Linked DNA regions of Callithrix jacchus. The protein of the gene in region 1 interacts with the protein of each later gene in a biochemical or structural test. Links are inferred from orthologs where the notes say so. Each region holds a gene or a part of one and is shown on either strand. Other genes may lie near its edges.

Region 1 (10,249 bases):
AAAAAATCAACTAACCACCTGTCTATGAGAGGCTGTTAATCTCACTGTTGTTTACTTTTCAAGATGAAGTTGAATATTCAATGCTATAATAAGCTGACTTTTAAACCCTCTGGTCACATGGAAGGAGGAGGAGTAAGAAGAGACACACTGAAATAAATATAAAAGGAAGGCACAGCTCTGGGTACTGCCATGGTTTTATGTGCCAAGTCTTAAAAATGTTTATGCCTATTATCTCAGTAATCCAACTCATATGAGTTTGTAATAAAGAGAAACTTTAAGTGAGAAAAATATTAAATAAGATTAGTCACACTGTCAGCTATAGCAAAATAACATAAACTTCCAACATTGTGAAAATGTTAAATATTTGTGAGCATGGCCACAATCTCGTGTTGACAATTAGATTTACAAAACGATTTTAATACTGTGGAATGATGCTTATGATTTTGTAACTGGGCACAAAACTATGGATAATATAATCTGAACTACATAAAACTATGTCTGAATGTGTGAACATGCCACGAGGTTATCAGCAATAATATTAAAAGTTGACTACTTTTATTTTCTCTGTATTTTATAGGTCAGTTTTTTTAACAATACATGCTATATTTTATTCAGAAAAATATTTTAAAAGTCACCGGCTGGGCACGGTGGCTCATGCCTGTAATCCCAGTGCTTTGGGAGGCTAAGGCAGGCAGATTACTTGAGTCCAGGAGTTCAAGATTAGCCTGGGTGACATGGCAAAACCCTGTCTCTACAAAAAATATAAAAGTTATCTTGGCGTGTTGGTGTACACCTATACTCCCAGCTACTCAGGAGGCTGAGGCGGGAGGATCGCCTGAGCCTGGGAGGCAGAGGTTGCAGTGAGCCAAGATCACGCCATGGCACTCCAGCCTGGGTGATAAACATAATGAGACAGCGTCTCAAAAAAAAATCTAAGTCACAAAAGTCTTCAGTTGCATATGTGGAGTAAAAAAGAAAAAAATAATAATTAAAAGTCTTAATAGTTCCAATAGCCAGATTCTTGATATGCTCACTATTATTAAATGCGATTCAGGCTGGGCACAGAGGTTCATGCCTGTAATCCCAGCATTCTGGGAGGCTGAAATGGAAGGATCACCTGAGGTCAAGAGTTCAAGACCATCCTGGTCAACATGGCAAAACCCCATCTCTACCTAATATAAAAATGAGCCGAGTGCAGTGGCATGTGCCTGTAATCCCAGCTACTCAGGAGGCTGAGGCAGGAGAATCGCTTGAACCCAGGAGACGGAAGTTGCAGTGAGCCTAGATCATGCCACTGCACTCCAGCCTGGGTGACAGAGCAAGGCTGTCTCAAAAACAACCAGTGATTCAGTGATATGTCTATCATTTTTAACAAGTTTTCAAAAAAATTAATAGTCTAAATTTTAATATCACTATCCTCTAAGGTTCTCCAGGCTTTATAGGTAATGATAATGGCTACCTTCTTTTACAAAGAGAAGCTAGGTCCCCTATTAGCTGTGTGAACTTGGCCCTGTTATTTAACTTCTCTTTGACTGAGTTTCTTTGTCAGTAAAATGTGCATCATACCGTATCTGTCTCACAGGATGTTGTAAGGATTCAATGATACATGCATAACGTGTTTAGTACATTGTCTGGTACAACGCAACACTCAAAAGTGTGTTAACTGTCATCATTTAAGACCCAACCAATCAGCAACAAAAAAAATCTGCAGACCCAAATTCTAACTCAGAGCTTCATTTACACTGAAAAGGAAACAGAAAGTAAAGCCCAACATCTATGAAAATCAGTAAGAATTCAGAAGACAGACCCCAGATCCAATGTACTCAACTTAGGAGCATGCTTCCTGAGTAAGGGGAGTTGAATGGGGTGCTCAGGTACGCTGGGAGAAGTGGTGAGAAATATGACAAGACAGAGTTTGGGGACAGAATCTACAGGATAGGAACAGAGACCTCACCCATGTACTGCAGCCAGAAACCAAGAATAGAACTGTAAAGAGATAAAGAATCCACAGGCTACCGAAAAGTTTTAGAAAGCTCAGTGTGTCCAAGGACAATCATAGTGGGAAAGAAGAAGAGTTTGAAATCCCAAGCTAATTTCCTCTTGTGGAGCCAAATCCAGAGTCCCCAAGAACCATTCGTTTACTTACATTTCAGTGCAGCAGCCTCTTAGGCCACTCTTATTTCAGCCCAACGGAAAGTCCGATAATCAATGCTAAAATGCCCAGCAACACAACTACTACCACAATGATAATTATCAATTTCTGGAGAGAGGAATAAGACAAAAACAAATTATCACAAACAACCAAAAAACAAAACAACTCATCCAAAACCCAACCCCTGTCACCTCTACATAGAAAACACCTTACCAATCTGAATGAGAAGCCAACATCTCTACACGCAGACATCCTTCTAGGATACTTTAAGACAGGGTTTTTCTCTATCACTCAGGCTAGAGTGCAGTGGTACGATCATGGCTCACCGCAGCCTCAACCTCCTGAGCTCAAGTGAGCCTCCTGCCTCAGCCTCCTGAGTAGCTAGGACTATAGGCATGCACCACCATGCTCAGCTCATTGTTTTATTTTTGTAGGGACAGAGTCTTCCCATGTTGCCCAGGCTGGTCTTAAATTCCTGGGCTCAAGTAATCCTCTCACCTCGGCCTCCCAAAAGGAAGGCTAGGTATGGTGGTTTATACCTGTAATCACATCACAGGTATAAACCCCCACACCCAGCCTAGGACATTTTACATTTTTTAAATTACTTACAGGCTAGCAATGCCAGCAGAGGGAAATATGAGGCTGCTCTCAGTTCTCAGCTCTCAGCTCACACTGCAGTTCTGCATACGTGGACAGATATAATCAGAACCACTATCATGGGGTCTCTAAGGAGCACTTGGCCAAGATAAAAAGTGGCTGACTGATTTTTCCCTTTTTCAGAGGGAATGTAAAGGCATTTTTGATAGAGTCCTGATTTCCTACTTTTGTCCATTTGTCCCCTAAAGTACACTTTTACCTGTCAGACCCAGTCCACTGCCTGGATATGAGAAAATGCCATCCATTCTGGATTCACCATGTCAAATAACTTCCCAGTCCCCTAAATCCCTGTATAAGCAATAGGTTAAGTTGGAAGAAAAACAAAGAACAACAGTGTCAGAGCCCAAGAGAACTAGCCAAAGGAGAAAAGTCTAAAAAGCAGAAGCCACCAGAGCTGGATACCCACAGTCATGAGCCCAGAAGCCTAGAAGTCCTTAAGCAGGAGGGGCACCAGAGGGTGGGCAAATATGGTGGTGTTGTAGAAAGAGAATGCCTGGGATCGAAACTTGAATTCCAGTGCCTCTACTCGCTGGGTGGCCTGAAGTCAGTTACTGAACCCCTGACCCTCAACTGTCTTCTTTATAAAGTAGAAATAACAGGTACTCCATTAGCTATAAGATAATGTATACATAGCAGTTAGCATGGGTAGAGAAAACTGCATACCTCAAGTACAAGGTAGAGAAAAAGAGAAGGGAGGCAGGGTTTGGGAGCCTGGAGTGAAAGACAATGAAGAGGGTTTCTGAACAGAGGAGTCAAGTGTAACATCTGAAAGTCTCATGAGCTAAGTCCAGGAGAAGATCAGCAGCAACACCTGGGCCATGCATCTATCCTACAGAACTGCCTTTCAAATGTGGGTTCCTGGGGAGATAGCTTGTGAGCCAGATCCATGCAAGGCACACCTGAGAAGGAAGGGCAGCCAGCTGGTATCTAGGAAAGGCTGAGGGAGGGGTTGATGAGGTCATGACAGGGAGGGTGGGCTCAATGACACAGGTGGGGATGGCCAGGGAGAGGAGAAGCTGCTAAGACAGCTGAGACTAAGGTGCTCACCCTCCGGGCTTCACTCTGATACTTGACAGCCTTTTTGGTATCTGCCACGGCCCGCTCCACGAAGCCCACTGACTGGTCCATGTTGTTCTCAATACGGTCAATCATGGATCCCTTTCCCCAGATGCAAGAGGTGGCGGCAGCAGAAACAGAGATAGGGAGAGGGAAGAGAAAGAGCGAGACACAGCTAACCAAATGGACTCTCTTCTCTGAAGGCAACAGGAGAGTCTCACCTTCCGGGCCTGACTCTGGTATTTCACAGCTTTTTTAGTTTCATCTCGTGCCTTCTCCACGTGGTCCACTGTGTGCATGACATTCAACTCTATGTTATCTAACATCTCACCCTGCAAAGAACAGACTCTGGTCACACACAGTAAATGCCCCAGGACAGTTCTAGCCAATGTGGGGAAGGGATTCTCTTTCTTCCCATCTTCAGTGGTTAAGAGGAGAATCCAGAAACCTTGATGCATGGCCTTCCAGAGGGCACGCATTCACGTTTTCCATGGGACTACCTGTGGCTCCTCAGTCCTTGGTGGTGGGTTGGGGTGGCAGTCACTTGTTCAAGAAGCTTTCACTGAATTTTCCTACTTCTCTGTGACCAGCACTCCACCAGGCATCCAGAACATACTGTCTAGATGCCTGGTAACTCCTTATAAATACACTCTGAGGTATCCCTGGACAACCTTTTTTATTTATTTTTCACACTTAAGCACATGGAGAAGAACCAAAATTAAGGATATCTCATGTTCTTAGGACATTACCAGATGCTGATCTCTTCCTGGTCATTCAGACCTCAAGCAACATCATTCAGCCTGAATTGAGTACATTCACTAACTGCAGAAGAGTGCCTGGCACACAGTAGGTACTCAATAACTAGCTGAGGTGGGGAACATTTGCTTTCTCTAAGTTATTTCCAGGCCCTTTAAGTGACAGACGTTGGGTTTACCCAGGCTATTTGGGTATATTTTCCCTTCCAGACAGTGGTCTCTTGATAAGATTCCCAACAGTCTCCTAGCAATTACTTCCTGACAGGGAAGTTTAATCATTCCAATGAATCTTAGGTGTCTTAGGAATTCTCCTCAACTACCCAGACCCTCCTCAACCCTACTCTGTCACTCTATGGCGGTCTGTAAACAGAACAAGGCACTTACCATCACTTGAATCTCAAGCCAGTTCCTCGGCAAAGCAGTGTGGGGGAAAAAGAAAAGGTGGGACGGAGGGACTTGAGAAATGGTCTCGGAGGCCAGTGGGGAACTGGGGAAACCACCCAGGCCCTCAGCAGGGAACCAACATCAAAAACCAGTCAAGCCGTGCTCGGGCTTCAACTAGGTTTTTGCAGTCTGCCTACTATGGAAGCAATTTTCTCTCCTATCCAGGTGTCAGAGCTGCTGAAAGTTCATGGCAATAGTGCACAGCACCATGACCCTGTGGCACACTTAACTGTCCCATAAGAACTGGGAACCATCTGACTACATGAAACTAGCACCCTATGCAGGCAATCCAGAACTCTATCCCAAGCAAGCATGCCTGGGACAAAATGAGCTGTCGAATTAAGCACCATGAGTGTTGTGACTCCTTCTGTAAATGCTATTTCACTACTCCTTCATTCATGTTGTCTGCTCTGTGCCTTAGTGAAAGGTGTCAAAATTTTTAGAAAAACACAAACAGGAAAAACAAAACAAAAACTTCTGTTAAACCTAAGCTTTCCCTGTAAACCAGAGAAAAGATCACATTTTCAATGTCATCAGTGAACTGGTCCATATCAGGAAACTGTTTTAAAGCATCACCATTAGGAACCCCCATCTCTGATTTTTAAAAAAGAAAAGAAAGAAAAAAGACAAATCCTAGGATGACTGCTTGAGCCTGGGAGGTCAAGCTGCAGTGAGCTGTGATCATGCCACTGCACTCTAGCCTGTGCAACAGAGCAATACTTCACCTTAAAAATAAAAATAAATTTAAAAATGTTAAAATCTGGGGGAACTAGGTAATTGACAGAACACATCAACCTCTATGTCAACTATCAACAACTACAAGGCCAAAAAGATGGACAAGAATGAAAAGGCCAAGATCACCCAAAGTGTCAGCGTTCAATTTGAATGCACACTTTCCCATGGAATTCTGTTTCTCTTTTATGCAAATTCCCAATGGTTCTCCCACCCTACCTCACTGGCTTCCAGAATTCCCTTCCTCCCTGTTCTCCAGAGACCCTGAGCTTTCCTCTCCTCCCTCCCCACTCTGGGACTCACTGCCACTTACCTGATTCTCCACCAGCATGGCGATGTCCATAAACATGTCATGAAGCTCCTTGATGCTGCTCTCCAGCCTCACAATGTCCTTGTGCCGTCCCTCAATCTCACTCAGGGCTTGCTTGGAAATCTGTGAGTCAATGATCTACAACAGGCCACACACAGAGAGACTGTCAGCTACCCCTGCAAGAAAGGCTGCCCCTGTCACAGCCCTCACACACACTCCTCGGGAGCTCCTTGCCTCCCTGAACTCCCTGCACCTGCAGCACCCCCTCCACCTGCTGGACCGCGTGAGCTCCACAGTGGCCTCCCTGCTCATGAGAGGGATATGCTATCCGAGCACACGGGGCACTCACCCCAGAAGTGAAGATGGCTGGGTTGCCACTCTCCAGCATCTCCTCCAGCTCCTCATCTGTTGTCTTTTTGCCGGCTTTATAACAAAAGAAGCAGAGCATCAAATATAAGATCACAGTGAAATACCATTTGATAAGGTCCCTGAAAACTAGGAACGTGACTTCCCTATAAAGACCATGGTCTTTACAACACTCCCCTAATTGTCTCCTGACTCATCTTATTTCTCCCCTAATCCAAGCGATCCTTAAACATTGTCAGCAGTTACCTTCCTAAAGCACATTATCTCATTACATTGCTTCCCAGCTCAGAGCATTTCTTTGCCGCATTCACTACACTATGGGATCCAAGGCCCTTATTACATGCCAGTTCGTGGGCAAGCCCTCCCTCAATCCATCCTAACCTTAAGTTACTCCAGACACACCCTTTTCCCAGACCCTGGATGACCTGCCACTCCTAAACACGCTTGCTCTTTCTTGAGTACGTTCATACCATTCCTCTCACCCAAAGCACCTTCCACCCCGAAGGGCCCTGCCTTCCTAAAGGGTATCCCTAAAATTCCTAAAGGGTATAACTTTATTTATTTCTCTATTCCTCCCAGCAACTTACACCACACTTTGTATTTCATAAATGTGCTTTGCTGTCAAACAGACAGCAGAATGATACAATGAGTCCACAGGAGAGCAACTGTTTGGCAAGCAATTCCCTTCTATAGAGGAGAAGATGCTGGACCCCATGCAATATAACTACTTGGGCCTGATAAACACGGTGTCACCTTTCAGCCTACAGCACAGCATTCAGGATATGCCAGTGCGATAGCATCTGCCCTAGACTTAGGCACAAAGTGTGGGTGCTGCTTGCTCCCCCAGGGCCTCAAAAATTGGGATGGATAACCAGGTGGCAGGAAAGGTGGAGGGCACACGCCAAACCTCAGGCACATACTAATTTCAAGCTGCCGCTGGATTCGCCCTTTGCTGCGTTCTCGGAAGTCCACCTGAGCTTCATTGTATTTGGTCATCACCTCCACAAACTTCCGAGAAAGAACAGAGTGCTGTGGGACGATGTAAAATGCAGTCAGCCCCCAGTGGTTCTGTAACTGTTATGGAACCCCTCCCCATCCCCACATAGCCGTCTACAGTAGCACTGGACTTGGAATCGACCAGGTATCAACCCAAGGTTTTTGTTTCCTAGCTTTGCGCCCCTGGGAGAGTCCAGCGCCCTTTCCAAAGCATGGTTTCAGCACCAGTTTACTGAAACCGGTTTACTGCTGACCTCACAAGGTAACTGTGAGGCCAGCAGTCATCTCTAAATCTCTAAGCCCTGCAGCCATATGGACTAGCAGCATTTTTGTGGCACAACGCTTGCATTCTGAAACTGTCAGATTCCCTTCCCACATGTCAAACTGACCAAAGATCCTTGAGTTCTAACCCTAAACTCATCTCCCCAACTTCTCTTGCTTCTAAGCAGATGTTCTCTCAACAGCCCTGGATGCCTAAGCTAAAACCTTCCTAAGAATTTGTATTCCTCACTCACCTCTCAGCATCAAGCCCTACTTACTGGTTTTTCATTTGGAAAATCACCACTATTTATACTTTTCCAAACCCACTACCACCATGCAAATTTAGACGAACGCCATTACAAAAACCTAACTAGGGACATTCCAGTCCCCTGCCTCCGTCCCACTTGCAAACAGTTTCTAAATGGCTACCATAATAGTCCTCCTAATATACCACCGCCTGAAGCAAATGCCTGTAAGTTCCAACATCAGATCCAAATTCTCTAGACTGCTCCTCAAAGACCTCTAGAATGTGGCACTACATTATCTACTAAAAATTATGTGCCCACTATCCCACAGCAAACCTTTTCCTCCGAAAGCCTATTTATTGTCTTCATGTCTGCCCCTTACGTCTACCCCCAACCACTACCAACCACCATATACCCTACTCCTGCCCCTGTACCTCTCAGAGCGGGGAGACTGCTTCCTGAGCCTGCTCACATTGGCACTCTTGGCCCAGCCTCCTCTGGCAACCCCCAGTTCTTCCTGACATCTTTGGACGCTGAGAGCACCATGCATGTGTCCTTTTTTGGTTTTTTTGTTTGTTTGTTTTGAGATGAAATCTCGCTCTGTCACCTGGGCTGGAGTGCAGTGGCACGATCTCGGCTCACTGCAACCTCCATCTCCCGGGTTCAAGCAATTCTCCTGTCTCAGCCTCCTGAGTAGCTGGAACTACAGGCATGCACCACCATGCCTGCCTCATTTTTGTATATTTAGTAGACATGGGGTTTTACCACATTGGCCAGGCTGGTCTCAAACTCCTGACTTCAGGTGATCTGCCCACTTCGGCCTCCCAAAGTGCTGGGATTACAGGCGTGAGCCACCGCACCTGGCCACATGTGTCTTCTTATCCCATCCTCCTGCTGGGTCTTAGGTAATAGCTTTCTATGCCACTTGAATGGCATGCCAGTTCTTTAAAGACAAGGATCATATATTTGACGACCCCTAAAGTGCCTAGCTCCAAATGTGACAACCAATGACTAACAATTGTTAGAGAGAAGATATTTATTTCCTCTCCTGTAAAACAAGGAGGCACACTGAATCCTATGCTGTGCTTTAGGAAGCCTGAAGAAGCTCTTCAGGGGCCTCCTTAGAGAAGAGGGTACAAGAGAGGGGCCAAAAGGGCTGGACTCTGGCCCTGATCCCTATTTCAACCTGGAAAGTTCCCCTCTAGCAGTTCTTAAAACTGAGTTTCAAATAAGGACTGTATTAAAAAAAAAATCTCTCCACAGTTAAGGAAAAATAATAAGAGATTGGACTAGATAATCAGACCAGGAAAAGTCTTACCTGGGATTTCCGAATCCGAAGGTCTGCTGATGACCTGACCTCATCTTCTTCAATATGCTTCTCCATGCCTGAAGAGGAGAGGAAGGTTATATTCACAGTCTATCTCCTCCTCCAAGAAACATGCTACTCAATGAAACTTCCTCACTCATTCCCACAAACCCCAGTCCATGGAGATGGAACAACAGGTAGGTATCACCTCAAAAGGTCATCTCCCAGGTGAGCCACAGGATGTGCATTCCACAACCTTTACAATGACCAGATTTTAGCATAACAATTAACAGCAGGGGTTTTGGTCACCAAGAGACTTAGGCTTGAATCCTTGCCCTACTAGGTGTGATTTTGAAAAAGCCACTTAACCTCTCTTACTGGACCTGTTCTCTCATCTGTAAAACACAATACTAGTCCCTCCCTCACAATACTAATGTGAAGATTAAGTCAGAAGACACATAAAGTGCCTAGCACAGTGGCAGGTGCACTATCACTGTTATTCCCGGAATCTGCTGCTAATGAACCCTCCAGTTAAAACAGTTACTGCAATTTACTTGAGGGGAATAAATGGTAAACTGGGCTAAGCAATCAATAATGCTTTCTCCTCAGATGAATAGCGTGCACGCACCAAATACACTGGGCAAGAATTCAGGCTATCGCCACTGAACTAAGTAAATCTTCTGGGCCCTGGAAGAATTGAATCTATGACAGCAGCTTCATTGAACTATCCTCTCCCAAATGGGGAGAGTGAGGGTATGAGAAGGTAGTATGCCTAGCCTACCAAGAAATATCTGTAGACTGAATGATATCTCTTGCATCTATGTATCTCTAAAATCACTATTCAAATGTATGTAAGTAGCTGGGCATTGTGGCTCATACCTGGAATCCCAGCACTTTGGGAGGCTGAGGCAGGAGAATCACTTGAGGCCAGGAGTTCGAAACCAGTCTGGCCAACATGGTGAAACCCTG
Region 2 (10,990 bases), on another chromosome or scaffold:
TGTTGTATAAATGAATACAAATTAACAAAGATGTTTGTATCAGAAATAAAAATAAAAACTGGAGTATAACCTTCAACAGTATTATTTTAGGTTATACTGCTAAGGTGTTTATATATATGGATGTCAGAATTTATCCTCATGATATACACTCATGTAGAATATCTCTAGAGGGTTTCCAGTGAAACTGCTAACAGACATGGTCTCTGGCAAAAGAAATGAGGGCATGAGGGTCAGGGATGGATTTACTTTTCACCGAAAATCCTTCCATACTTTTCAAAAATTTAAGCAATACACATCAGTGTTTTTGAAATTAAACCAGCAAGCCATTGTGGCACATTTCTGTAATCCCAGCTACAAGGGAGACTAAGGCAGAAGGAACGTTCGAGCCCAAGAATTTGAGAGTAGCCTAGGCAATATAGCAAGACCTCCATCTCTGTTTTCATTTAACAATGGGAAAAAAAATAAACGACCCCCCAAAAAAAACCCACACTCATATTTTTAACTAGTAATTCTTTTTTTAAACCTAAAAGACTTTAGGCCTACCAATCAAGACTGCTATGATTAGTTCCAGGTATGGTACTTTTTGAAACTCTAGAAATCAAGAGATACGATTTTCATGTATTTTTTAATTTTCAGAATGGCTAATTATAGACTATTACACTACATAGCTCTAACCTGGTTTACTGATATTCCAGAATTATCTTATTAGACACTGATTATCTGTCTAAAAAGCTACAAAGAAGATACAAGTAATGTAACTACTAGAGTAGTAATATTTTACATTTATATACTAGCTCATAAAGTAGGGTGAAAAAGCATGGACCTTGGAATTAGACAAAAATACTTCATAGGACTACTACCTTGAGTAAATCTTAACCTCTCCAAACTTCAAATTCACCCTTTATAAAAAGGGAATAGTTAACACGGATTCAGTTAAAAAAAAAATTCTTGCAGTGAGCTTTGTTTTAAACTAATCACTTCTAGGCCGGGTGCGGTGGCTCACGCCTATAATCCCAGCACTTAGGGAGGCTGAGACAGGTGGATCACAAGGTCAAGAGATTGAGACCATCCTGGTCAACATGGTGAAACCCTGTCTCTACTAAAAATACAAAAATTAGCTGGGCATGGTAGCGCACACCTGTAGTCCCAGATACTCGGGAGGCTGAGGCAGGTGACTTGCTTGAACCCAGGAGACGGAGGTTGCGGTGAGCCGAGATCGCGCCATTGCACTCCAGCCTGGGTAACAAGAGTGAAACTCCGTCTTAAAAAAAAAAAAAAGTAATCACTTCTATTTTGAATATAACTAATGCTAGTCGTTTCAAAATGTAAAAGGTAAAAAAGGGCTTACAGCTGGTTTCAAACAGAGACATTAATTTAACAATGGAGAACTCAGATTCAGCATCTGACCTCACTAATCAATCTCAGCACTAATAATAGTTGGAAAGCTAAAGCACACAACATGGTCTATGATATAGTCCCTAAGTGTTTCACCTGAATCATATCAAGTGGTCCGCTCTAACTTCCAGTTTGTGGTAACAAGTGAAATTACATCACCAGAAACCAATCAGAGACAAATCTAGATAACTGACCAGATCCTTTTAATAAGTCATGTGGAGGGGGTATTGAGGGAAAGAGATGGAAAAAGGTAACTTTACTAGATTAAGAGAGACTTGGAGGGATATAAAAATCAAATTAAATCTGTGGCCGATGATTAGAAACTGGATTTTAAAAGTTTTAAAAAATGATCAATCTGGAGAAATTTTAGTAAGGATTGAGTATTAGACAGTAAGAATTGAGTATTAGACAATATAGAGAAATTACTTATTATTCACTGTAATTATATTAGAATGTGTGGGAAAATGTTCTTTTTTTAGAGACATTAAAATATTTAGGGGTTAAATGTCAAGAATAGGCCAAATACAAAAATACAAAACATACAAATACAATACTAAAATGCAAAAAATTAGCCAGGTTTAGTGGTACACACCTGTAGTCCCAGGAGTCTCTGTTGCCCAGGCTGGAGTGCAGTGGCATAATCTGGGCTCACTGCAACCTCTGCTTCCCGGGTTCAAGCAATTCTCCTGCCTCAGCCTCCTGAGTAGCTGGAATTACAGGCATGGGCTAATTTTTGTATTTTTAGTGGAGACCAGGTTTCACCATGTTGTTCTTGCTTGTCTCGAACTCCTGACCTCATGACGTGCTTCGCCCCGGCCTCCCAAAGTGCTGGGATTACAGGCTTGAGCCACCATGTCCAGCCAAAAAAAAAAAAATTTTTTTTTCTTAATTAGCTGGGCATGGTGGAACACACCTATAGTCCCAGCTACTAAGAAGACTGAGGTAGGAAGAGGATTGCTGGGGCCCAGGAGTTTCAGGGTGCAGTGAGCCATGATCATGCCACTGCACTTCAGCCTAGATGACTGAGCAAGACCCTGTCTCAAAAAAAAAAAAAAAAAAAAAAAAGCTTTTAGGGAACGTGATTACCAGTCCCTTCTGTTTCCTAGCCACTACCAATTCTAGCCACTCTTAGAAGTTTATTTTCTGGAGATACTTTTCAATATTTTGCGTTAAAATATATAATATAAAATTTACCATCTTAAACATTTAAGTGTAGTTTAGTGGTATTAAATACATTCATAATGTACATCAGTACCAACCATCTCCATAACTATTTTCATCTTGCGTAACTGAAACTTTATATCCGTTAAACAATAACTCCTCATTTCCCCCTTCCCCAACCCCTAGCAACCACTCTACTTTCTGCCTCTATGATTTTGACTGTACTCCACAGAGGATATTCTATGCACATACAGTTGTCCCTCGCTATCCATGGCAAATTGGTTCCAGGATCCCCCTCAATACCAAAATCTGAGAATGCTAAAGACCCTTATGTGAAATGGCATAGTATATGCATGTAACCTACACATACCTTCTGTATACTTTAAATCATCTCTACGTTACATACAAGACCTACTACAATGCCTACACATAACTTCATTTCTGTGGATGCAATGTAGTACGTACTCAGCAGGTAGCAAATTCAAGTTTTCTTTTTCAGAGCTTCATGAAAATTTTTTCCCCAAATATTATCCATCCAAAGTTGGTTGAATCCATGGATGCAGATCCCATGGACGGATATGGAGGACCAACTGTATATGCAATACATATATTTTTATAAAACCACAGTGGTTGCAAAATGCATACCTTCTTTTGCACCTTTTCTTTCTCACTATATCTGAGGTCACTCAATATTAGCACATATAGAGCTGACTCATTCTTTCCAGCACATGGATACATTTATTTTACCAATCCTTTACTGATGAACACCTGGGAACTTCTTGATAGTTTCTTTCAGATTAATAGATGCATGCACACACACTGGACTGTAGGGCTTCACTAGTGATTTCACATGCTAGAGGTCCAAGTAGAGTATTCATATGTAACTTGTCTGCCTCGATGCTCTTATTCATTGGGTACACAATTAATCCTGAACTCTCCAAGATTCTCCAATTACAAAACACAATGCATAGGCTTCTCACTGACCCATTCCTGGTCCCAAAACCAAATCATCTAGCATCTACCATTATTCCTTTCTACTCTTGTCGAGCAGCCTTCAAACTACATGTGTTCTAATCTAGATGTACAATAATCGCTATTCAGTTTCACCTGAATCATATCAAGTGATCTGCTCTAACTTCCAGTTTGTAGTAGCAAGTGAAATGCTATCACCAGAAACCAATCAGGGACAAATCTAGATAACTGACCAGGTCCTTTCAACAACTCACGTGGAGGGGGTATCGAGGGAAAGAGAGGGGAAAAGGTAACTGTTCTAGATTAAAAGAGAATTCCAGAGATAAAAATCAGATGAAATCTATGGTCTTTTTAGTATCTTCCTTTTACTCAAAACGATCCAGGTTAGGCGAGGTGGCTCAAGCCTGTAATTTCAGCACTTTCGGAAGCTGAGGTGGGCGCATCACCTGAGGTCAGGAGTTCGAGACCAGCCTGGCCAACATGATGAAACAGTGTCTCTACTAAAAATACAAAAATTTGCCGGGGGTGGTGGTGGATGCCTGTAATCCCAGCTACTGGGGAGGCTAAGGCAGGAGAATTGCTTGAATCAGCGAGGCAAACATTGCAGTGAGCAGGGTTTGCCCCACTGCACTCTGTCCTGGACGACAGAGCAAGACTCGTCTCCGGGAAAAAAAAAAAGTTAACTCTAGAAACTGTAACTGTAATGCAGTTTGCTTGGGAAAAGACGTGCTTTTGGAATCGTATTAAGTGAATTTCACCACCTACTCTAGCTAGTTTAGCTTGAGCAAATTACTAGCAAAATCCCAGCGATCTCATTTGAAATGCTGCAGAAACCTACTTTCCATTACAATATCTCATTAATATTTTTATGACACACGTAAATGTAATTGGCAACTGTGTAGTAGATACTAAATAAATTCTAGTTGCATCTGAATACTGTCGTCCCTTATTTCATTCACGACCAAACTTGAGAACGGGCCTTAAAGCAAAAAAAAAAAAAATTTTTTTTTGAGATTGAGCCTCTCTCTCGCCCAGGAGGGAGTACAGTGGCGCGGTCTCGGCTCACTGCAACCTCCGCTTCCTGGGGCTCAACCGATTCTCTGCCTCAGCCTCCAGAGTCCTGGGATTACAGGCGCCCACCACCAAGCCCGGCTAATTTTTTGTATTTTTAGTACAGACGGGGTTTCACCGTCTTGGTCAGGCTGGTCTTGAACTCCTTGACCTCGTGATCCACCCGCCTAGGCCTCCCAAAGATCGCAGGCATGAGTCACCGCGCCCGGCCCTTAAAGCAAATTTTAAGGTTTCCCATGGGATTTACAACAGTACTAAACTCTTAGTAAGTACTCAAAAGTTATTTGTGGTTTGAATAGGCTGGATATAAACCATTACGGTGGATACAGCACTTGTTTGCTAAGCAAGAGAACTTCCCTGACCTAGAATGGCAGTCTCAAGTTGCTAAAAGCGAATCTCGAACTTCTCAACAAATCTTACTCTCAAAGATGATTAAACAACAAACTGAAATGGGAGGAGGGTGTAAAGCGTTTCCTCTCCATAACTATAAACCGAGATTCTGACTAAATATTAAATGAACACAGTAACCGCTCCATAATTAGTTGCCATTATTAAGATACATCACACACGGAGAGAAAGGAAAGGAGAAAAAGGAACGAAGGTTGTCAGTCGCGAGAGGTTGAAATGTGTCGCGGGACCTGAGACTACCGGCTTTAAGCACCAGGGTCTTTTGGACTCCCTGCCCAACTGAGGACCGAAGGTCAGCGGCTTCCCCTAAAGGTCAAGGCTTTGGAGCCACATTTCCTTCTGGGGCTGGGAGCAGAGCTGGAACGCCCCCACGAAAATCCGTACCCCGAAGCCAGCAGCACCGCCTGCCTGTAATCCCGCGCCGGCTCTGGGAGAGTGGACCGCTGGGTTACCCCTGCGCCGCAGCCTGCCGGAGCAGAAAGCGGGCCGCGTCTTGCAGCCACACAATCTCCCTAAGGGACAGACCACCAGGACCCTTGGGCTCCAATACGCTCAACGCAGGCCGGCCCATCGATACTCACATTCACAGCCAACCCCTCTTACTCCATCAGGCCGCCGAGAGACAGGCGAGGGAGCTCCCTGACGCCCCAGACTCCCCCCTTCAGTTTTGGGTCCGGGAGCCTGCTCCGGACCCGCTCCCCGCCGGGCCCTGCCACAGCCGCCGCCAGCGCGCAGGCGCACAGCGAGGCCGTCACGCTCTTTTTTTTCCTTTGCCTGCAGCCGTTCTCAATAATCTAGCTTTATTTGAACACAAGAGAGTGAACAACGGACACACAGGAAGAGGTTTTTCTCAAAAAGAATGGAGGAAGAACAAAGGCAGGTCAGCTTGCGGGAGAGTCGGTCCGCAGCATTGGACGCTATGAACAGTCTCCCTGGTCCCTTTTTCATTTTCTTTATTTCTCCTTGTTCTTTCCCGGCCTCCCTCTAGCTCCTTCCTTGGTGTCCCGCCATTTCCTTTAGTCAGTGGCAACTGTTCAGGCTAAAATTTGAAATAACTCCTTCCTTGTAAAATTTACTAAAATTTAATGGGAGGTGCAAGAGCTTTTAGGACAGACCTGCCCGAGTTTCAGATCTCGGACTAGCTACTAATAATTTACGACTTTGGGTAAATTAAAATTTTTCTTGGAACCTCAAGATCTTGAGTTAAAATTAGGATAATGTTGGGCCAGTCACGGTGGCTCATGCCTGTAATCTCAACACTTTGGGAGGCCGAGGTGGGTGGGTCAGGAGATGGAGACCATCTTGGCCAACATGGTGAAACCCCTTCTCTACTTAAAAAAAAAAAAAAAAAAATAGCCTGGTATGGTAGCGGGCGCCTGTAGTCCCAGCTACTCAGGAGGCTGAGGCAGAAGAATCGCTTGAACCCGGGAGGCAGAGGTTGCAGTGAGCCGAAATGACGTCACTGCACTCTAGCCTGGCAACAGATCATGACTCGGTCTCAAAAAAAAAAAAACAAACAAAAAACCCTAAAATTAAGACAATGTTATCTCACAGGGTGTTGCTAAAATTAAATAACATAGGTCAAGTGTTTTATCCATGAATGCTGCCTATCACAGAGCAGACATTCCATTATAACTGGTTTTATTCTTACTCATGCCTAAGGTATTTATAATTTTTTTTTTTTTAGGTAGAAACGGGTTTCACCATCTTGCCCAGGCTAGTCTCAAACTCCTGGGCTCAAGTGAACAGCCTTCCAAAGTGCTGGATTACAGGTGTCACCCACTGCGCCCAGCCTACATTTATTATTATTACTGAGACGAAGTCTCACTCTGTCATCCAGGCTGGAGTGCAGTGGCACTATCTTGGTTCTCTGCAACCTCTGCCTTCCGGGTTCAAGCAGTTCTCCTGCCTCAGCCTCTCAAGTAGCTGGAATTACAGACATACACCACCATGTCCAGATAATTTTTGTATTTTTAGTAGAGATGGGGTTTCGCCATGTTGGCCAGGCTGGTCTCAAATTCCTGACCTCAAGTGATCTGCCCGCCCCGGCCTCCCAAAGTCCTGGGATTACAGATGTGAGCCACTGTGCCCAGCCGCCTATATTTATTATTAAACTTAGCTCATACCCATTCCCTCAGAGCCGTAATTTTAGTGACTGAGACTAATCAGATAAAGGAAATGACATTAAGGTTGATCATTATGTGAAGTGTTCCTCTTATATTATTGAGATTATAACATCTCTGTTTAACCAGACCGTCAATGCCTCAAATAAAAGTGAGCAGTTACATTCATCTCTATGTATATCCAGATTTGCTTCTAGAGGTTCAGGAAACTTCCAGTTCTGTGTTTGTGACATCACAAGTCCTTGAAACACTCAAGGGCTATGGTATGCTGCTCATTTTACTCTCCTTCAAAGGCATGCAATGGAAGAACTATTTTGCCCTGTAAACTCTGGCCCATCGTTCAAGGAAAAGCCTTTAGAAGACCACAGTCAGATATTGGTGATTATTAAGGTAAGCTACTTTAGTGTTTGTCAACTTTGGGATTACTGACATTTTTGGAACATATACTTTTTTGTTGTCAAGGGTATTATGTGCATTATAAGATGTTTAGCAGCAGATCGGGAGCACTAGCTCACATATGTAATCCTAGAACTTTGGGAGGTCAAGGCAGACAGATCGCTTGAGTCCAGGAGTTTGAGACCAGCATAAGTGACATGGTGAAACCTCATCTCTACAAAAAATATGAAAGTTAGCCGGGTGTGGTAGTACACACCTGTACTCCCAGCTACTTGGGAGGCTGAGGTGGGAGGATCTGAGCTGCAGAGGTAGAGGTTGCAGTGAGCCAACATCACACCACTGCCCTCCAGTCTGAGCAAGACCCTGTCTCTCTTTCTCTCTCTGTCTGTCTCTCTCTCTCTCTCTCTCTCTCTCTCTGTGTGTGTGTGTGTGTATGTGTGTGTGTGTGTGTATGTTTAGCAGCATCACTGGACAAGATGCCAGTAGTATCCACCCCCCATTTCCCTGTTATCACAGACATTGCTAAATATCCTCTGGAGGACAAAAGTGTCCCTGGTTGAGAACCATGGAATTATTATCAATGACCATCCCAACCCTAAATGAACTCAACTGTGCATTTTCTCCACCTCTGCCCTTGAAAAGTGACTACTGCTTGAGAAAGCTACACAGGAAGGGAGAAAATGGTGAGTTCATTTTTGCCCATATTAAAAAGGCCCTCAGTACTGCTTACCAGTCCTACAATGTTTTTCTATCCATTTCTTGTATTACTTTCTACAATATTCCAAATCTTCTCAACTTTCCTTTAAACTCCCAATACTATCTCCTTTTCTGTCAGATGATCCTATCTCCAACCTCACAGAGAAAACAGGTCATCAAATGAGAACTTTAACTTCCTTTTACTAAACATACAAACAGACACATTCTTCCTCTCATAATTGGGGAAGGAAGTATCTTCACTCTCTCTCTTTCTCCCTCCCTCACTTCTTCCAAAACCACTCCTCTCACCAGTGCTTTGAACTGCCTCGAAACTGCTGCTATTCTTACCCTTTCAAGAACTTTCCCTACTGACTATCCCTTCTCTTCCTTTATTCGAACATTATTTCTCAGTTGAATCTTCCCTACAGTGCTCAAATTTCTCCTGTCTTAATTTTAACAAAAACCCAAAAAAACACCTGGGCTCGGTGGCTCACGCCTTTAATCCCAGCACTTTGGGAGGTGGGCAGATCACGAGATCAAGAGATCAAGACCATCCTGGCCAACATGGTGAAACCCCATCTCTACTAGAAATACAAAAATTAGCTGGGCATGGTGGCGTGTGCCTGTAGTCCCAACTACTTGGGAGGCTGAGGCAGGAGAAGTGCTTGAACGCAGGAGGCGGAGGTTGCAGTGAGCCGAGATCCCGCCACTGCACTCCAGCCTGGCACCTGTCGACAGAGCAAGACTCTGTCTCAAAAAAAAAAAAAAAAAAAAAATTAGGCCGGGCGCGGTGGCTCAAGCCTGTAATCCCAGCACTTTGGGAGGCCGAGGTGGGTGAATCACGAGGTCAAGAGATCGAGACCATCATGGTCAACATGGTGAAACCCCGTCTCTACTAAAAATACAAAAAATTAGCTGGGCACGGTGGCGCGTGCCTGTAATTCCAGCTACTCAGGAGGCTGAGGCAGGAGAATTGCCTGAACCCAGGAGGCGAGAGGTTGCGGTGAGCCGAGATCGCGCCATTGCACTCCAGCCTGGGTAACAAGAGCGAAACTCCGTCTCAAAAAAAAAAAAAATCCAATAAACAAAAACAAAAAATCTTGATCCTTCATCATCCTCCCTCCTTCCTCCCTGTCAAGGCCAACCTTTCCAAAAGCATTCTACAACCTGTCCCTATCTCTACATCTCCCCCATCTCCAAACTATTGTTTCTTTCAACCCCAGCATTTCACCAAACAGCTTTCACTGAGATAATCAGTGACCACTGTGTTACTAAATTTAAACATTTCTCAGGCTTCGTCCTCCTTGATACCTTAGGAATAGACTACTTCCTTTTGAAGCACTTTCTTTTCTTGATTTCCAGCACTTTGTTTTATTCTTAGAGGTGCGTGGAAAGGTTCCTGCAGCAAATGGTTTACAATAATCACCCATCTGCTTAAAACCCTTCAATAGCTTTCAGTGCGCATAGTACAAATTAGTCCAAAATTCCAAGACCTTCCAAAATCTAGCCATTGTTGACCTTTTAAAGCTTTCTTCCTCTACACTCGGGGATGTACGATTAGCACTAAGCCTTTAGCGAGGATACACTGCTAGAAATTTCCAAAATGCGTTATGTTGTTCTTGACACAAGTTGTTCCCCAGAACCTGGGAAACTCTAGCTCCTTCTCTGCCGGATTTCCGGGGTAACTCCTACTTATCCTTCATGACTCAAGTCACTTCCTCCGGGAACACTTCCAGAGACCCCTAAGAATGAAACGCTTTGTTTATTATCAGCCAAAGACGCCTCGGATTTTCAATGTACTATGCACTGTATTCCATCCACTATAATTTGTTTACATATCTATATCTTAGTCTAGACAGATTGAAAGGCGCTGAAGGGCAGAGAAAGCTTTCTGTTCGCTTTCTTTTCCTTAGCGTTCATCTGGCACAGTGCCTGGTACACGGTTTGCCCTCAGTAAATGTTTATTGAATGAACACCTCCCAGACTCGGGCAGGACTGAAATCTATCCGGTTAACTGATGAATTCCCAGGCTCTCCGCCAGCGTGGCAGGGAGATTTAAACCCCCAGCACCGTGATTGGCTCCAGCTGCAGGGGTGTGTTCGCGTCCGCGGCGCACGGGAAGTGCGCAGGCGCGCGGCCTGGGCGCGCGCAGGCGCTACTAGGGCACTGCGCCAGGTCTGGTGTTGGGGTGTCGCAGCTACAGCGGCCGGAGAGGAGTGGCTTCACCCGCTTGGTGAGTCTCCAAGAGTGGGATGGAGGGAGCTGACCGGTATGAAGTCTGAGAGTATATGGTATTGGTTGAAAAGTTGGTTGGGTCAGGCTTAAGCGGACGAGGGGGCGCCCTGGCCCTTACTCGGCAGATGGGCCCGAAGCTAGGAGGGGAGGCGCCGGGAGAACCTCGAGGAGGTGGAGGAAGGGTGGCTGGATGGTGGTTCCCTGGACCCTTCCTCGAAATTAAACAGAGATCTCCTCCCGCCCCTCACTCCCACTGTGCTGCTGGGGTTGACATTAGTAGACTGCATATATGGTGACCACGGTGATCAGATAGCTCTGAGATAATGGTTTGAGGAAGGACTCTGAGGTTCCTGGTATTGGATAGTCCTTGCTGTCTGTAAAAGCTCACCTTTACTTCGCGGCTTTACTGCACAAATAAGAGGATCAGTTAAATAATGAATTTCACAATTCGGGATTGGAGTGGTCGGGGGGAAAAGTACTGTAAAGTGTTTTTTTCACCTCGTCCTTTTTTTCTTCTTTAATCATTAGCCATC
Region 3 (11,021 bases), on another chromosome or scaffold:
AATGAAAAAAGGCAATCCTCCATATTAAAGCCAAGTTACATGTCATTTCTTAGAGAAATAAAGTCTCATCAAAATGATAGACTTATTGTATTTAGCCAATACTTCATATGATACTTCGTGCTTCATAATTTCCTTGTCAATTAGGTATAATTATTGTCTCCATTTTACCTAAGAGATAACTGAGATACAAAGAGGTTACAGAATGAATATGATTCCTAAAAGATTTACTCAAAGAATACTGCGATACCCTATCAAATAGCCTTTTTGAAATGTATTAATTTGGACTACCATTTTCTCTGCTTCTCTGTTCCTGATTGTCACAGGTACTTCCTTTCTACTTGACCACAGGCATGTATCAGCATTGTGGAGGATCCCAGGATGCATTGTAAAAGAAAGGCTGTAATTTTGCTGCATCAAGGAATGAAAGTGTGGAAACATCCAGCCTCTCGCTGCTGGGCAGTCCCCTTCTTCCTTCCCACAATACTGTCTGTAGTAAAGAATAAATGTTATTTAACATTCTGGGTGCACAGTCATATTTTTTCTTAACACAGCAATACAAAAACTGTAACTAATATTTCTGGTTCTCTTTTTACCTCTCACAAATATATATCCACCTTAGAGGCTTCAGGGAACAAGGACAGCCTGGATAGTTTAAACCCAGAGCTAAACTATTCTAGGCATTTTAAGGCACTTCACTATATATAAATGGGGTGGGGAACTGGGTGAAGGGCTAGAAGAATATATGAAGAGAAAGTGGCAAGCAAACCATGTAGAAAGCAAACAAGGAATCAAAACAGTTGATATATCAAATTGAATATTCTTGCACCCAAACTGAATATTCTTGAGCCCTCACAGTGTTTTGAAAACATTGTCATAGAGTGCCTGGCATTTCCCAGAGGAGGACCCTAGAGAGGGGGCTTCTAAGCTGGGCCATCTCTAAACTATTTTCAAGTTGACTTTGGAAAGATCACATGGGATTTTAGACAAGTTTTTATTATTATTCCTTATGAAATTGTAATTATTGAGTCAACAATGAATGTTGCACCTTACCTTTGAGATACAAGCTAAATACCTTGGACCTACAGCTACTGCAAACCAGAATACTTCAGGGCATAATGTACCAAAAAAGCTTTCAGAGGCTTGAATTATCATAGTGTAAATATCCATCTAGCCAAGCAAGTAATTTTCTCATTACTCATCCTAACGATTAGATACTCTGTGTTGGTCCTTTGTAGAAATAACCCACGGCAGCTGAACCATCTTGGAGCAATGGTTCCTTCCCTGTATGGTTCAGGCCTTTGCAAACCCTGAGTAACATGAATCTGTTGGTTCCCTACTGGCAAAATGATGATGTTTTCTTGTTTGTTTTTGTTTTGTTTTAATCATGCCATGAGAAAATCCTAGGGGGGAAAAAATCTCATTATCATATCCAAAATACATTTAGGGTTATCTGGTTATCCTTAGCAAACTTTTATGTACCCAATGTTTATGTTTCCAAATTAGACTTTTTTACCTTTCCCAGAGCAAGATGAAGAACCTCTCAAACAGCATCATTTTCAAAACAAGCACTAGCGACAGAAAATGCTGTCACCGCCACCAGCTAATCCTGTAGGGTCCATGGTATTTTCTGTAATGCCTTGAAAGAGTCTGCCTCGAAACAGTCTACCTCTCTCTTCCTATCTGTCATTTTAAAAGATGTCAGTGTGGGGCATCAGCAGTTGAAAACTCAGAAACCAAGCCCGTCCTTCCCTGTGACTTCCACATAGCTTTTGCCTGCAGGAGAAGCCTCCATCACTGACATACTTGCTTTTTAACTTTTTTTTTTTTTTTTAAACCTGGAAAATCCCCCACCTCCTCCATTCCTTCACAAAACTTTCTGCCTGAATGATTTCTAGTCTGAGGGCCATACAGATATTTTGTTTCTCTCTCTGCAGGTTGTTTTTTTCTCTTCAAACTTCCGCATGCTGCCTTTTTTTAAAGTGTCACATTTTGGGGAAAAAAAATCTGACTATAAAGGATTTTGCAGTACATTGCTTTCATTGCCACTTTCCCCCTATTCCAGCTTGGTTTATAATGAAAGTAAGAGCCATAATCAGGAGACTTTTGACAATTAGTATCTAAGGACTTTGCAGATTTTCTTCTTTATTGTATGGAAATCTTAAGTGTTTAATGAATATTTAAGTAAAAAACTTTCAGCAACATGCCTTTTTTTTTTTTAGGAATATGGCTTTAATAAACATCCAAACACTGTTAATTATTATGGCAAACATTAATATGTCAAAAAAAAAAACTTTTCAGGCCAGAGAATCTTTAAGAAACAATGATGTCTACTGATTTCAATTAAAGGTATCCTTTATTAAATTCTTAAAAGCCCCACTCTTTCTAAACGCAGAGCCTTCACAACTCTTCTTCTTTTCCCCCCTCCCTGCTTCCCTCCCTCCGCAATAGAGTGCAATCAAAGGCCGTATTATTGCTTGAGCTTGGCTCTCAGGCCAGTGGGATGTGTGTGTGTGTGTGTGTGTGTGTGTGTGTGTGTTTGTGTGTGTGTGTGTGTTTGGTGGGGCAGGTGTGTGCAGGGGGAGAGGTTGCACGCCGTTTATCCAAACCCAGCTCTGAATGGTTTCTCCTAAGCGAGACAAGGATTTTCCATCTCCTAAAAGAGGCCATCAAGTTTTAACATTGCGAGGCACGACTTCTAATCACATCCTTCCCGGAAAAGTACAAACAGTTCCTCAGGCGAGGTCCCCCACCTCCCACGCGCTCCCCAGCCCTCCCTACCCGTGGAGAGCCCGGCGACAGCCTCCCCAACATCTGTGAATCATCCGGGAGGCGGCCACCGCCGAGCTATCCGCGCACCACCCCCTCCCCAGACCTGTGCACGGCCAGGAAGGACAGTTAGGATTGTTGCTTTATCATTATCATTTTTAATCTCTAATATGACCAGCACAAGTAGCCTTTGTCTCCCCGCCCTGATCTGAGCACCCAAGGGCCCCCGAGGAGGCCTGCACAGGTACTCAGTGAACCACCAGATTCGGCGGCGTCCCAGCTGTCCTTGTTTCTAAGCCCCCACCTCCCCCGGCGGTTAGGACGGTTTCCTCGGGGCATCCCTGACTCCGTAGGGTACCCCTAAGACACCCAGCACGCAACCCGAGTGCCGACTGCAAATTCCACCGAAAGCAGCGTCCTCCGTTTTTGCCCTAGGCAAACAACTCAACTTGTATCCCCCAGCCTTTGCAAACCTACGCTGGCTGGGCTAACTCCGCTTTCCTTCTCCTTCCCCCGACTCCTGCCACAGCTCAGAGAGCCTGGCTCTGACGTACTTCAAAATAACGTGCGCCAGCCTCGCTCCCCGGCTGACCACAGCAAAGGGAGCTGCAAGCCCTCGACGCTGCTTCGGTAACATGAAGAAGTCACTCATAAAAATAGCAACCCACGTAGCCTGGCCATATATGGAGCCGGCGAGGGTGGACGGGGATGCCCCTCCGGACCCTCTTTGGAGGAAACAAATCGCCGCTGAAAATTTCCCCCCACTCCTCCCATCACTACCTTTTACCCCTCCTCTACCTTCCCTTCTCCTTACATGACTCAACCACAGATTCCACTGAACGGGGTGGGATGTGGGGAAATATATATATACACATACGCGCACACACACACACAAATATATACATATAATACATGTATTATAAAGTATATACACACATGCATTTATACACATACGCATATGTACACATACAGGCACCAGAGAACATCAGCAATACAGTCGCGGGTTGAACGCATTTGCCCAAGACTGAGTGTTAAAATGGAGTCACAAGAATCGCCCCGTTCGGGTGTTTATAGAAGGCGAAAACACGGCTGTTTGCAGGGCAGCGCACGGGGAGCCGAGTCAAGCGCGCCGCAGCTCGGGCCCCGCCCCCGCCCCCGCCGGTGCCCCGCCCCCACTTCCTCCCGCCCCTCGCCGGGCGGCTATTAAAAGCTGCTGACGTCAAGACGGACGGCCATCTTTGATGAGGGCAGAGCTCACGTTGCATTGAAGACGAAACCTCGGGGAGGTCAGGCGCAGTCTTTCCTTCCCTCCCTGCTCCGCGGCTCCTCCACACTTGCAACCTGCAGAGGCCCGGAGAACACATCCACCCGAGAAGCCCAGGTAAGAAGCCCCCTCCCCAGGTCGTGGCTCTGGCTCGGGATGGCTGCATACCCAGAAGGGACAGCAGCTGGGCAGTCCGAATGGGCTTGGGTAAATACAAGTATTGGTGCACTTAGGGTGCGGTATTCCGTGTGTGCACGTCTGGTGGGGGCTTTATAAAGTGTTTTTGAGGTGAGCTGTCGGGGGAAGGGGAAACGGGAGCCCTGCAAATGGAGCGACAGGGAGGAAGAGCGAGGATACGTACCGAATAACTTACTCTTTTGAAACAGTAGTGGGACCCCCTCTTTCTTCCATTTTGCCATGCAGTTTTCAGAGATGTTTAGGGCTGTTGGGTTCCCCCCCCACGTCGTTCTAACCCTATTATTAGGACTGTTGTCTTTAGGGTGCTATTATCCAGGGAAGAATTAAGGGGGAGACAGGGTGTGGGTGCTGGGGAGGCTAAAGGAGAAGGGGGAGTTCCCGCCCCGGGCAAGCTGAGCTACTGCAGCGACAGCAGCCTCCATGCCCCGCGGACTTGATTTATGCCGCCTGCTCCACGTCAACTGCAGGCTGGCGGGGGGCGGGCGGGTCGTGCCGGGTGGGAGGGCTCTGCGGAGGGCTGGCGCGGGTGGGCTGGCCTCGGGGACTGCGGCGGCCCGCGCTCAGCACCCTGGATAGCAATACCAAGGGCTCGCGCGGGCGCCCTCGACCTTTCAGCACCGGGGACAGCGGTCCGGCCGCAACGCCGCATCTGCCTGCGGCAGAAACGCCTGGCCAGGGCTGGATGTGCCAGGGCTGGAGACCAAATTGTCTCTCTGAGACCCCGGTCTTACGGAGACTCTTAATAGAGCAGTCATAGTAGGTTAAAAGAAAACAAGAAAGAAATAAATCTTGCTCACAGAGACTCCTTTGCCGACAATTTTCTGCTTCCCTCCTCACCTTCATAGCTTCAACAAAATAATAATCTACTTGTGGAAATCTGTGTTGCCTTCTGCCTCTTATTTTAGGTAGAAAATAGATACATTTTTAAAAATATGCATTTATCCTTTAGCACGGTATCAAGGGTTTTGTTTTTTAACACAGAGTAGGTCTGTCTACAGATCTTGGGTGGGCATAAGTAGTGTATATATGAAGAAGCCAATGCTATCTGTTTATAGGGAGGATACGTCTCTCTACCTGTTTCCATTTGATAACAATTTGAGATTAGCTGAACTAAGCAGAATCAACTTTAAAAATGAATCCCTGTTTATTTTCCTTCTCCCCCCATCTTGCAATCAGGCATGAACACAAGTATTCATCCACAAAAACACATCTGATAAATATTACAGGTCCCATACTGTATAACCTCTTTGGCCATGGTTTCAGAGTTACTGGAAGTATTTCCTATCAGCATTGGTTATTGCAGGCTGATAGCTTCAGATTTTGAAAACATTAAGCCTGGTCTTCCTCAGGAGAATCCAACTATGTTCTTCAGGGTAATGCAGGTAAAGAACCATGGTGTTAGACTGGAACTGAACTCTGACCTAAAAGACCTACTGCAATTTCTCTTATGGCACTGCAGGATTTTGCTGAGGTGGTGATAACTACTTTAACCATTTTCCATTCTGAGGCTTGGAGCATCTGAGAAAGCAAAAGTCATCAGGGATACTTCTCTCTGTTTAATATAGATAAAACTAGCATAAAATGACCAGTATCAAAATTACGCCATTCGAGTAGTTAGCAAAAAGAGGGTAACAGCGTCATATGTAAGAATCTATACAACACATTAAAGAAATGCTATAATGATCCCCTTAAAGGACCCCAAATTAGACCCTGGATTGTGTTTAGATAGTCATACCTCCAATCTTCCGTAAACTACAGATACTAAAGTTCCCTGTTCATATACAGAAGGCGATTTCATTCCTAGCTATTCAATTATTTCCTAGTGTTTTTTTCTTTTTGTGGATGACCATGTGTTTCCATGTATGTATATGTTGATCTGTTATTGTGCATGGATGTAAAATTATTCGAGTGGACATTTATATAAGAGTATGTAAATGTATAAAAGAAGTTTAAAACTCTGCATCTGCAGACAAAATAAATAAACAACTGTGTTTTAGCGGTGAGAGAAGAGAAGAAAATATGGGCAGGAATCTTTAAAAATGCTTTAACTTCATGCTGCATGTCCAGACAGCTCTCTGCGTAGTTGCGTCAAATGAAAAGCCTAATGCTGCCAGAATTACGTGCTTGGACATTAGCAATTACTGCTGGGTTTGTTTGCTAGTGGAAAACTGGGAAGGAGGGGGGGAAGTAGAGGACTGCAGTAAAGATGGCAAAGGGCACAGAGCTGAGGGGAAAAAGCAATTTGCACAATTAGAAAGCTAATTTTAGAATAGCTTACTGAGAAATTTAAAAAATATATAATTGAACTATGTATCTAACATTTATATCATTGACAAGCTTCAGGGGGAAAAAATAGAGAAATTTCCTATTTTAAGTTTGAATTTTTAAAATCCAGGGCAATGCGGTGAGAAGAGGCAGGCGTAGATGGACGTAGGATGAGCCAAGAGTCATTCACACAGACCCTCCGGTGCCTGTTTTTGTTCATCGACATTTACTGCATTACCACCTCAACGTTCAAATTACAAAACAACTTACAATCCTCTTAACCTCTTCATGGCAAAATCTCCCCAAAATTTACAATTTTATTTTACTTTGTTAAACACGCACGACCACACATGCACAAACACAATACAAACTACCCCTTAATTAGCTTGTCTAAAGACATTCCTAAGCTCTAAATGTTAACCCTTGAGTGAGTGTTATCAGCTGAAAGACATATCTCTGCCTGTGACACCTAGAAGCTGCGTAGCAGTCAGCCTTCAGCCTAACAGCGTAGGTTTTGACAATGAGTAAAAATGAGAAAAAGAATTTGAGTAAGAGGTTGAGAGAGGAGACATGAAGAAGAAAAACAGATAATCTGCTTTTTAGATAATGCACTGTGAATAAACAATGTTTCTCACATTATGGGACTGCTTTACAATTCTATAAAGGAAGGAAAAATCCATGTTTTAAGCCTCAGCACTAGAAACATTTCTGCAATGTCATCCCTTGTCAGCAAGGACCAACCGGATAGAAAGATATTGATCAACTTGTATGCACCAGATAAATAAATGAATCCCATGGGAGATATAAAATCTCATGGTTTTGCCTTGACCTTAATAAGTTTAGTATCTAGCAATCTTAATAAAAGCAATAAACAATAAGTTAATAAATAAAACCAGAATGAAAATGCAATAAAACATGAGAAGAAAAATTATTATGATATATGTGATTAATTTCCAAGTGAATGTGACCAAAAATAGGGAACATAAATTCAAGAGGGCAATATCACAGTAGAGTGGGACCACCTGAGAGAAGAGGCAGGCCTTGAGGTGGCTTTTGGAGCTTGCAGAGAGGTGGGAGAATTCTGCTAAGTTGAAGTCACAGCATATGCAAAACATCACATTAGGCAAGCCCACTCTACAGTTAGCAAACCCTGAAAATGCCCGTCAATTTGGGTGGAGTAAGAAGCTTGGAGGAAATAGGCTAGGATGGAAAGTTGGAGCCTTCTGTGGAAGGCTTTGAATGTCAAGCTAAGAATTTGATGCTATATCCTCTACAGTTTATTTCTGAGCAGAAGCTGAAAAAACAATATGACCAGGTCCTTCTTAATATCCAGAAATTGCTATTAACAGAGTGGATTTAATTTGCATTCTTCCAGAAGAAGAAAGGAGCAAATTGGTATCATAAGAGACAGTTAATGAAAAAAAAAATCAGTTCTCACTGAAACGTCTTTTAGGATCACTTTGCAGGATGTATATATATATATATATATACATACATAGTTATATAATTCTTACTTGAGAGTTAATTGCAAGTTTCAGTTTTCCATTACTGACTAAAAGAAATTATGCAAGTTGAGTACTTGCCAGACAGATTGAAAAGAAGGTCAGGAATCTGGTGATGAGAAGTCCCAGAAAGTCCCAGAAGGTGCACTTGAATAATAAACATGGTGTAGAACACTCTATTGCTCTCTCTGAGTATTCAGCATTACCAAGTACACTGACTAGAAAGATGAAAAAAGTCATTAGTTCTGAGCATGTTTTGAGCAGCAATACAAATAGAATCAGCCCCAAGAGGCTAAAAATGGGAGGAAAAAGATGGAATTGTAGAATTTTGAAAAACTGGGGTCGGCAGTATATCCAATTTCTTTCCCTGCCCACCTTGCTGACTCTTGCTACTTACCCTCACTTCAGGGTTACCTCGAGGTCTGAATTACACCCATTTTGTTTCTAACCTTGTAGTTACTATTCTCACAGCAGAGCTTCAGGATTCCAAATGCTGATAGAATTGTTAAGCCAAAATAGTCAGTGGGTTTGTACACAGGAAGAAATGCCAATGACAGATATAGATTTTACTGCCATTTCATTTCTGGCTATGAAGCATCAAGAGACTATCTTTATCTATTCTTCACCAGAACACTGACAGTAGAGATGCCACAGGATAACATTTTGATATTCAAGCTGACTACCTAGGGGAAACTTGGAGGTAGTGGCATTTGATGCTTTAGGAGATCAGGTCGGTGGTTATTAAACTGAGTCCAAGGGCCACATAAGCATCAGGTAAGGTGAAGGGAGGAGGTACGACATAGCATTGAGGAAGTAGGACATGATGAGTGCACAAAAAGTTAAAACAAAAAAAGTCTTACAAGAGGAAAAAGGCTTCGTAGAAATTTCTAGAGAACCCCAGCTGCACTGTGAACTCCTCAGAATTGCTATTATTGCCTTAACAATAATACCTACTCTTCCTACATAATTTTCTTCACAAGGCTCTCATGCACTTCACCCAATATAAAAGTCCAAGGAATTTCTGATTTCTAAATAAATAGTGTAACCCACAAACACGTATGTTCAGATATAGTATTTGAACACACTTAGTAAGCCATAAGTTGATTTAGAAGGACAGAGGTACCCAAAGCAGTGATTAATCAGAATAGGCATATGGGGGAAAAGAATGTGACTCTCATTCTAAAAGTGTTTACCTATACTGCTCACTGTATCCTCCTAACAACCTTATGGTCAGATTACTATTATTATTTCCATTTCACAGATGAGATAACTGAGGCACAGTAAGGGTAAGTAACTTGTCACAAAGCAGAGCCAGGACTTAACTGTGATCAGTCTGACTCTAGAGATTAAACTATGAAGTATATTTTATGATATCTCTTGCATCATCCACATTTTTCATATTGGCCAAATAAGGAATAGAGAGTACACATGACATTTTTTTTCTTTGCTGCCTTTTCCTCCTTACTGGGTAGCAAGGCCTGAAGGTAAGGATACTGGTTAGAGCCAGGATACCCAGCTTTAGCCCTGAAATAACTGCTTGTACAGTTATTCCTGTTTGGAATCACACAGTCTTTAAATTAGTCACTCAACCACTGCTGAACTTGGTTTCCTTATTGGCAGAATGATAGAAGTCGACTTATGATGCCCAGTATCCCTACCATTCAAAAATCAATGAAATCAGTGCTGAAAACCCCAGGCAATGGGTCCTGGCCTAGTGACCAATGGCCTCAGCTGGCATCATCTTAATAACGCTTCAGTGACCGATCTGACCCTAATTGGAAGATTAATTACATTCATTGCCTCCCTCATCCCAATCCTTATTTTTTCCTCTCAAAATTGTTTTGCCTTCATCTTTCTGAAGCCTTCCCAGAGTTAAGAAATCCTGATTTCTTCCTCAAAGCCCTATTCTGAGTCATCACTGCTTTGGGTATCTCCTGCCCTTCTCAATCATATTTGTAGCTATCTGGCACATACTGTCTCCTACAACCTGCCTAAACTTTGTATAATTCTCTTTTCAACTGAATTAACTGTTCTTTAAAATTCCTTTCTAGACCTCTTTTGGATCATCTCCTGTGTCTGACTTAGCAATATATTAGCTGCTATTCCCTCACTCATCCTCTTACTTCCTCTGCTGCTTAGCAAAGAGGAAACAGAAACTTTTATAGAATCTATGAGCTGTAAAGTACTTTAGAAGTAACATTCCTATGTGACCTGAATCTCATGATACTGATAGCCAGCTCAAAAACTAATCACATTGGGAGGATGTGGGGTAAAATGACATTACAGGAAAACTTTAAAAACATGGGACAAGGGGAGAAGGAAGCTTTAAAGCCTATGAGGTCAGAGATCAGCAGCTGGTGGTACAACGTTGATTTATTAAATTCATAATTTAATTATGAAAGTCACACATCAAATAAATTCACATGTCCCTGGGGCAAGGGGCTGGGGAACACATTTGCCTTATCACAACCTAGTGCAGATTTCAGTATCTTTCCACCAAGGTAAAACACAGTATCACAAGAGGAAATCCTAACTGATTTTCTTATTGTTGACTACAGAGGTTAACCTCAGCAGTGACTGATTTACTGGTAAGAACAACAAATCTGTATCCCCCAAAAAGAGATGAGGGAAAATCCTGTTTAAGGATTAGCATTTCCTTTTAAATGCTTAACAATCATTCTAGAGAAATTCAGTCAAATGATGCCTGCTTCCAACTGACACTGAATAACAGCTGTACTGGGCTTTCTTTGGTTGTGGAAAAACATATTTCATCCCCTTCTTTGCTGTTGTTGATGTGGTTCATATTACTCAAAGATGTCTAATTCTCATGTCTTAAATTGAGACTATTGGTCCTTTCTGCTGACTCGTTGTGTCTTATATTCCAAGGTAGTCCACTTTTACTTACAGAAAAAGGTTATTTTCCTCAAAAGTGGCAGATTCCACAAAATGACCATCTGGTCCCAGCTTCTCCATCACTTCCTTCATTCAAATGACACTAGTTACAGATCTTGAACTTGAGAGATGAC

What was found.
Region 2: the proteins of STX3 (region 1) and SNAP23 form a complex in vitro, tested with the Homo sapiens proteins (3 studies listed by BioGRID). The link is inferred for Callithrix jacchus from reciprocal best matches to the Homo sapiens genes STX3 and SNAP23.
Region 3: the proteins of STX3 (region 1) and SNAP25 form a complex in vitro, tested with the Homo sapiens proteins (2 studies listed by BioGRID). The link is inferred for Callithrix jacchus from reciprocal best matches to the Homo sapiens genes STX3 and SNAP25.

The regions. Positions count from the first base shown.
Region 1 is NC_133511.1:117,086,915-117,097,163, reverse strand, and holds part of STX3 (syntaxin-3), read right to left. Parts: intron 9,361-10,249; coding exon 9,293-9,360; intron 7,502-9,292; coding exon 7,393-7,501; intron 6,530-7,392; coding exon 6,456-6,529; intron 6,245-6,455; coding exon 6,110-6,244; exon of another isoform or gene 5,005-6,109; intron 4,198-5,004; coding exon 4,087-4,197; exon of another isoform or gene 3,968-4,086; coding exon of another isoform or gene 3,857-3,967; intron 2,261-3,856; coding exon 2,177-2,260; 3' UTR 2,147-2,176; intron 1-2,146. UniProt on the Homo sapiens protein: Potentially involved in docking of synaptic vesicles at presynaptic active zones. Apical receptor involved in membrane fusion of apical vesicles.
Region 2 is NC_133509.1:30,171,782-30,182,771, forward strand, and holds the start of SNAP23 (synaptosomal-associated protein 23), read left to right. Parts: upstream 1-5,803; 5' UTR 5,804-5,887; intron 5,888-7,315; exon of another isoform or gene 7,316-7,423; 5' UTR 7,424-7,520; intron 7,521-8,042; exon of another isoform or gene 8,043-8,168; 5' UTR 8,169-8,209; intron 8,210-10,376; exon of another isoform or gene 10,377-10,455; intron 10,456-10,990. Other genes in the region: ZNF106 (zinc finger protein 106), read right to left, coding at 1,139-1,225. UniProt on the Homo sapiens protein: Essential component of the high affinity receptor for the general membrane fusion machinery and an important regulator of transport vesicle docking and fusion.
Region 3 is NC_133506.1:17,322,792-17,333,812, forward strand, and holds the start of SNAP25 (synaptosomal-associated protein 25), read left to right. Parts: upstream 1-4,027; 5' UTR 4,028-4,147; intron 4,148-11,021.